Linked DNA regions of Oryzias latipes. Each later gene encodes a partner of the first gene's protein in a complex. Links are inferred from orthologs where the notes say so. Each region holds a gene or a part of one and is shown in the gene's direction. Other genes may lie near its edges.

Region 1 (3,818 bases):
TTGATAATCCAGATTTTTTTCCCCTCAAAATTTTATTTATGAGCATTGAAAAAGTTGTAAAACATTTAAATTCACTTGAGGCCAATTTTGGACCCCTGACTCATATGTCCATTCTCAGCAATTCTTTTCTTTTTCAATAACATAACTTATTGTCTAGCAAGACACAAAACAAGGAACAGTGGATGCTTTATTAGGGAGGGAGGGAAGTAAAATATATATCTATATATATATATCTATAGATATATCTATCTATAAATATATCTATATCTATATATATATATATATATAGATAGATAGATAGATAGAGATATATAGAGATATATCCATCATCTCCATTTGTTGTAAATGATTAAAACTGAATATCCATTGTGACCACATCTTCAAAAATTGTCATCAATCCAGATTTTTTTAATTATTTTTTAGCGAAGCTATAATCTGACCAATCAGATGCCTTACTTAAAGGGGGTGGAGCCTGCTGCCCCTCTTTGTCCGACGCTCAAAAACGCTGGATAGAATTTGTGCTGCCTGCTTTAAAGTGGTAGGGACGTGGCCTTCTAACAAGCTCACTCCTGATTGGCGAGAGTGGTTGCCATAGAAACACTGACTCGGACCAATCACGGCTTACCGACGTCGTCTGGCTCCAACATGTCCGTTTTGTGAAATTTGGTTGGAGCTGGAAGAAGGCAATTTTCTATGGATGACGTCACTCTTGATCGCTAACATGCAGGAGGCCCGGCTCCTCTGATTGGTCCTCTGATCGGTCACATGAGCAGCAGTAACATTACACTTCAGGGTTTGTTGACCAACAACAACACGAGATTGACGGAACAGAATCATGGCGAGCAGAAAGAGGAGTTCTGATAATTAAGGAATGATTGGTTCCTGCTGTCTCTGTGGGTGGAGTTTCCTTCTTTGTGTTTGTAATCAGGAGTGTGTGTGTGATGTGTTAATTGTGTATCCTCACCTGCTGGTTTTTACCCTCAGATCTGTGTTTTTTTTTTTAAGGTAAACACAAATGTGGAGCCGTGCAAAGAGGCGTGGCTTCATGCTGCAGCTCTCGGTTCCTCTTCCTCGTTGGTGCTGCTCCTGAATTAAAACTTGTTAATTGGGCCTGGATGTCAAAGCAAACACTGTCCTCCATCGATTTTGTGGAATCAATCCGGGCTCTTCTTCACAGAGGAGCGGCCAAGGTCGGACGCCCCCGCTGCCGTTAGACCCCCTCCCTGTACGCTGTGTGAGAGCCATAGCAACGGTTGGCGTGACGTGTTGGTTAGTTATCGGCATAAACGTTGCATGTTTGGCTTGTTCAAAGTGGCGTTGAAGGCGTCCGTGTGTCAGAAACTGTGGTTTTGAAGAGGTTCATAAATCTCTGCAGCTGGCATGCAGAGATTTATGAACCTCTGTGCAGCAGCGGTGCAGAGAGTTTGGAGGCTTCATGGAGCCTGAAGTGAGCATGGAGAAACAAAGGGATGCTTTTCGTCTGTAGTTGTCTTCCTGTTGCTCGCCATCCAGATCCACGGCGTCTCTGTGTGCAGCAGGCGGCCGCGGTGGGCGTTAAAGTCGACTTTGACATCCCTGCTGAAGCTCCCTGTCGTGAAAAACTGTAACCAAAAGAGAGGGATGCATTCGGAATCGAACCGTCTGACCATTGGAAAGACCATGACTGCAGGATTTAACAGACTCTGGCAAGAATAGAAGCTTTTCTGTTCAGAAAGTACCAAAGAAAAAAACAGAGGAGATCTACATGAACTTTGGCTGGTTTAACTTCTAATAATGAAGGATTTTTTTGTGTGTTAACTTGGAAGAAGACACAAAAAGTTTAATTTTCTTGAAGTTTTGGTTAAAACCAAAGTATGTGTTTTTGTCAGCTTTTGTTGGAATATACTTCAAAAGATCAACATTTTTCGTCCATCACTTTGGTAGAAAGATTTTAAACCAGGTAGGGCTTCACGATATGAAGAAAAATCGCGATATGCGATATTACAGATTAATATTGCGATAACGGTATAATTTGCGGTTTACTGTATAAACAAATAACAATATAACCAAAATCATAATTTCCATTTCATTGCAACAGTTTAAAAATTATACTCCAAATGACGTCAACATAGGAGACAAACATCTAACATAATAGGCCTCCATCTGATTGGTCAAATGCATAAAGGGATTTATTTGATTCGTTAAATGCTTCAAGCTGCCATAAGGTTGTGTTAACACATTTAAGGTTTACGATTTATTGCGATTTTCACTGTCTTTTGCGATATGCGTATTGCATGGCTGGATATTGCGATAACGATAAATTTGCGGTGTATTGTGCAGGCCTAAAACCAGGTGAATGCCTGACTTTTTTTTTTTTTTTGCTGCAGCGTCTCACCTTTTTTGTCTTTTCTCTGATCCGCTTCACAGCATTAATTAAACAAAAACACACAGTTTTACTCCTTTAACCCTTGTGCTATCCTAGGCACTTTAACATTGGGAGTTGGGTCATCTAGACCCACTAGATGGGTGTCCATGGATTACATGAAATCTTTCCACCTTTGTCATGGTAGGGAGAACACGTCAATGGTCATCTTGACCCCATAGGATAGCACACGGGTTAATTGCCTTTTGTTCACACTTTGTTTGGATTCATTACATCGTTTTATTTTAACAGCAGTTTAGCTTTAATCCCTTAAACTCTTTCTATTCAGATCTAAAACGGGTCGACGGAGCTTCACGAACGGCCAGAGCTATTTATCAGTTTTGTCGCTTTTAAACATGGATTTTAAGAGGGAAAGGTTCTACTTGAAGGCTCTATGTGGTACATAGAGGAACCTCCTTTTTTCTCCTAAAAAAACATATTGTGAGAAAGTCTTCATGGGTACTTTATCTCTTTTATAAAAGCCCGACTGTTCCAGGGTTTCAGGCTCTGAAGACGCCTTAAAGGTCGGATGTTCAGCATTTTGCTGGTCAGTGGTCCAGAACTCATCATTTGAGTTGGTTTTTTTATGTCAGCAGCATCCGGTTCAGGGGAACCGGCCCGGCCGTCCTCCTGGGAGCCGAGTTTAGGCCAACATCTTCTGGTTTCTGTCCTCCAGCTTCTGCTGCAGCTGAAAAATGCTCCGTTTCACAGAAAGATTCTCATTTCAATGACGTGATGAATAATTAAAAAGAAAGGGGGGGAAAAAAAGATGTTTATCGACTCGTCAGTGTTGATTAAACATCTTCCTCTTTTGTAAGGAGATGAAGCTGTTGAACTGTGGAGGAAAACCCGAATCTTCCAGCTTCGTTCATGTCTGTGTTTCATGTTTTCCAGCTGAAACTGGAGGATCGGTCACTCGTCATCAGAGACATCGTGAGGCGGAATAATTCCAATGTAAGTGCCATCTCTCCTGATCTTCTTTTCTCCTGTTCTTCTCTAGTTTTAATAGTTTTTTATATAAAGACAATAAGCAGTCTAAGTGAAAGTCCTTGAAGATGTGGCATCTAAAACTTTGTTTTGTTCTAGTTCATTGCTATTATTTAGTCTTTAGGTTTTAATAAATGCCTGTTATACACGTTTACCAGGTGAATAAGTGGGTGGGGCCTAATCAGTGGACCAATCAGAGGAAAAAACGTTTTTTTTCTGGGAGGTTAGGAGCAATTTGAGCTTCATTTTCCTGTCGTTCTGTGAAGGAAAGCCTCCTCTATTCTGTGTTTTGGGATCGAACTGTTATACATGTTTCTGTGTTGACGTGTGTCTGTGTTGCTCCACAGGACAACCAGTGCGGCATCGTGACCAACATCGACATCGAGTGTGCGGTCAAACTGGTGGGCACGAGCTGCATCCTGTATCCAGT
Region 2 (3,818 bases), on another chromosome or scaffold:
ATTGAGTCCTCTTCTGCTGTTTGTGCTCTCAGGGAAGCGCAGGAGCTTCATTTAAAGGCCTGTTCACACCGGGACGAATTTCGCCGGCGATTTTCGCCGACGTTTAACGCCTCGTGACTAAACAAAGGGCACCAATGAGAGTGTGCACACCGACGCGAAAAAACGCCAGGCGTTAAAGCGTCAAAAAAAAAAAACGCCTCGGGTTCGTTTTTTTTTTTCGACGCGTCGCGTCGAAATCTACTCGACCAATGAGAACGGCGCTTTTGCTCACGTGTCTGGAGCTTCTGAAGTTACAGTAAAACACAACTTGGGGGCGCTCAAACACAAAACTGCCTTGCTGAGCACACATACCAGCGAAGAAGATAGACGCCAAGTAGCGTCTACACTGCCGCGAAGAAATAATGACGGACATTCTAAAATATCCCCGAACCAAGCACCAGTTGGAGCTACTGATGCTTGAAATATTCATGTTTTCTTTGTATTATTCTGACAAGCGTGTAAATACTTGCTCTCTTCTTCTGAGTGAAAAGCGACTTTAAGAAGCGTAAAGTTGCGCAGCGCCACCTTGTGTACAGGAGTATTTCTGTTTACATTAAACGCCATCTAATGTCAGGGAATGAAATTGCATGTTCACTCCACTCATCGTCAGCGAAAATCGCCTGGGTGTGAACACAAAAAACGTGGCGAAAAACGCTGGCGAATAACGCCTGGCGAATATTCGTCCCGGTGTGTACGGGCCTTAAGTTGTCAGGCATGATAAAGAAACCGTACAGATGTGCTAAGGCACAGAGCCCAGCTGGGGCTTGTTTATAGAAGAAGCCTGTCAACTCTGCACCTCCATCCAAATGAAGGATGAATCAGAACTGCTTGAAAAGGAACCTTTGATGGTTTGTACTTTCACAGGTCCTGAGGGGTTGTCCTGGAAGAGACTCTTAAAGCTCACGATACTAATGAAGCTAGCAGCACATCTTCTGTAGTTCTGTTTTGACCAACATCATTATCTTCATGAAGGCATCATGAGCTGCGTTTCCATGACACATATGCGCAAAACTATTGAAACAAACCAATTCACGCATCATTCAAAAACATGGCAACGGATGTAAACAATACTTTGACAGCTGATGAGTTCAAATTTCTGCCACAGTACTAGCGCTCATCATCTGTGCAGTGACCAAGGCAGCCAGTTCCTACCAAGAAGCACAATCTGCATCAGGTTGTTGGTCATGTGACTCTGGTCAAAGAGCCACACCATGCACTTACCTGCCAAGACATACACACACAAACAAACAATGAAAGCCATATTATTTCCAATAACACACTCTTCTCCTTACAATAAAACAGCACTGGATTAAAGGGCCCAGTTTCAGTTATGGGTGTTTTTTTTTCCTGTATGCAAGTGTCTATTACAAAAAAGGCAGCGGTAGCAAAACTGGGTTGCTTGTGATTTTTCTTTTTTGTTTTTTCTGTCATCAATCAGCATCCAAAAGTCATCCATCAAAGTCCTCATCTTCTGTATCTGAAATAAACAGCTGTGCTAAATTTCTATCAAACACGGCAGATTCTCTTTAGTCATAAAGCACTGGCCGCACGTATTTAGAAAATTATGGGCGAACAGACACTTAATAATAATTTTAACAATCATAAAAGCACATTTAGATAATCTTCCTCTATGCTGCAGCTTTGTTTGTTTTTTTTACAACAAAATTCACTATTTCTTCTTCTATGGCTGTTTCTGGTATTTTAGATGGTTCTGCGCGTGTTATGATTTTTTTTTTTTTCCCCATCCGAAAGTGTGGCGTATATAAACCTTTGATATAATCTGATTACGTTTTTTCTGGGCCCATGTACACGGTTCAATATTAATCTGATCTTTGATCCTAACAGACACATTTTGCACATGTAACTGCAGCTACTGAGCGTGTCTGCACATTGGTTTCATTCATCTGAGGAGCTTTTCTGCTGTTTGCAGCTCGTCAGCTCACAGTGCAGATGATGCAGAACCCACAGATCCTAGCAGCTCTACAGGAGAGGCTGGACGGTCTGAACGGCTCCCCATCAGGCTACATGGAGAGGTGAGTGAGGAAAGTCAGCATATCGGCATCCACAGTAGATGAATCTTGTTTGGTGGATACATTGAAAAATCCTGTTTGCTCTGCTGAAAAGAAAATCTTGGCTAAAGTGGTTTGGACTTTGCCTTCAGTTGGGTTTAAACTGGACTCCCTTTTTTGCTGATAATTTCTGTATTCATCCAGTTAAGAAGACTCTGTCTGGTGGAGCCTACTGCTTTCTGTGCAGCTCTGTGTTTCCAAATGACACCGCAGACAGCTGCAGGTTCTGAAGGTTTCCTCCAGCGTCTCCCCTGATCTGCTCTGTTCAGTAGCAGTCTGTGATGATGGAATCTTCCGCTGTCGAGTCCCAGGTCTAAGAAGTGTGCTGTTCCTCGAGTCTGTGCTAAACTGAATTATTATGAAGGCTCGTTTGAGTTTGTAATCAGAAAATCTTTGTCTGAAATAAATCCTGTATGTCGGGCTGACATGCAGATGTGTCGCTTCCTTGAACTCTTGGTTTTGCAGCTGGTCTGCAGAACTCCTTTCATTTTCTTTTGGGCTGGGATTATGCGGGAGTAAAAAATAATTAAGCTCCTTGCTCTCCGTTTGTATTCTGTGAAGGAACTGTAATGCCGTCTGAAATTCAAGATGTTCAGCCTCTGCCAGCATGCAGTCAGATGGTGCAGATTTCACAATTTCCCTTCTTCTGATGTTTGATACTGATGGGTAAGCTTCTGGAGTGTTTGGAAGCAGATTAACAAGCTGATGGCTACTGAGCTTCATCGCTCCTCTTTGAACCAGAGTTTTTTGGTTTAAGAGCTCCACACCAAAGGTTGGCACTAGAAGAGTGAAGGACTCGTCTGCTCAGGAGGATGTTCTGCTCCTTCCTCAGAGACACTGTCACTTTAAAGCTGTGGGAAGAGCTTCACCTCTGAAATCCCTGAAGTCTTTTATAGAAAAGCTTTGGAACAGAGGGTAGTGAGGAGTAGACCAACGGACTCCAAAATCTGGTCTGTTTGGTGTTGTGCTATGCTGTGTTACTGTTGGCAGGGAGGTAAGTGTCATTCACCTGCTGACAAGTAAAACTTCCCTGTGAAGAAGCAGATGGACAGGTGATGGCTTGGAAGTGAAATCTGTGTCATGAAGACCAAAAAGACGCAAAGTCACTGATTACTTTCAAGGTCCGGCAGTTTAGTTTTTCAAGTTAGTATTAGAGGACTTTGTGATCTCCAAGTGTAAAAATGGTTTTGAAAATGTCTCCAAAGAAATCCAGAATTTCCCAGAAAACGAGTAGCAATTTGGTCCTGAAGTCTAAAGAGGAATCGGAACGAGTCATGCTGGATTACTGACAGGAATGCTTCAGGACCTTTCCGTCTGTCTCCACAGTTTACCAAAGGTTGTGAAGAGACGCGTCAATGCCCTCAAGAACCTCCAGGTCAAATGCGCTCACATCGAGGCCAAGTTCTATGAAGAAGTTCACGAACTGGAGAGAAAATATGCGGCTCTGTACCAGCCTCTGTTTGACAAAGTAAGTCCCCTCTGCATCTGCTGGACTTTGGTCTACAGCAGCCTCCCGCATGGAGCCTCTGGGACAGGACAGCAGTTATGAGCTCATTCAGAGAGTCTGTGATGTTCTTCTGGAAATTTTGCTGAGACTTTGTTTTACTGCACAGAGAAGCGACATAGTGAGAGCAGCATATGAGCCCACAGATGAGGAGTGTGAATGGAAAGCAGATGAGGAGGAAGAGCTCACAGTAAGTAAGCAGGTAC

The links.
Region 2: the proteins of ube2o (region 1) and nap1l1 are in contact, whole or in part, in a cryo-EM structure (PDB 7UN6), measured with the Homo sapiens proteins. The link is inferred for Oryzias latipes from reciprocal best matches to the Homo sapiens genes UBE2O and NAP1L1. Residues at the interface, in NP_071349.3 of Homo sapiens: Ser225, Asn226, Val282, Lys283, Pro284, Val285, Lys289, Ser290, Lys291, Phe292, Arg293; in NP_001317160.1 of Homo sapiens: Arg333, Arg337, Thr343, Gly344, Glu345, Ala346, Ile347, Asp349.

The regions. Positions count from the first base shown.
Region 1 is NC_019859.2:3,061,352-3,065,169, reverse strand, and holds part of ube2o ((E3-independent) E2 ubiquitin-conjugating enzyme), read left to right. Parts: intron 1-3,295; coding exon 3,296-3,355; intron 3,356-3,735; coding exon 3,736-3,818. UniProt on the Homo sapiens protein: E2/E3 hybrid ubiquitin-protein ligase that displays both E2 and E3 ligase activities and mediates monoubiquitination of target proteins. Negatively regulates TRAF6-mediated NF-kappa-B activation independently of its E2 activity.
Region 2 is NC_019881.2:10,002,139-10,005,956, reverse strand, and holds part of nap1l1 (nucleosome assembly protein 1-like 1), read left to right. Parts: intron 1-1,969; coding exon 1,970-2,072; intron 2,073-3,434; coding exon 3,435-3,576; intron 3,577-3,721; coding exon 3,722-3,814; intron 3,815-3,818. UniProt on the Homo sapiens protein: Histone chaperone that plays a role in the nuclear import of H2A-H2B and nucleosome assembly.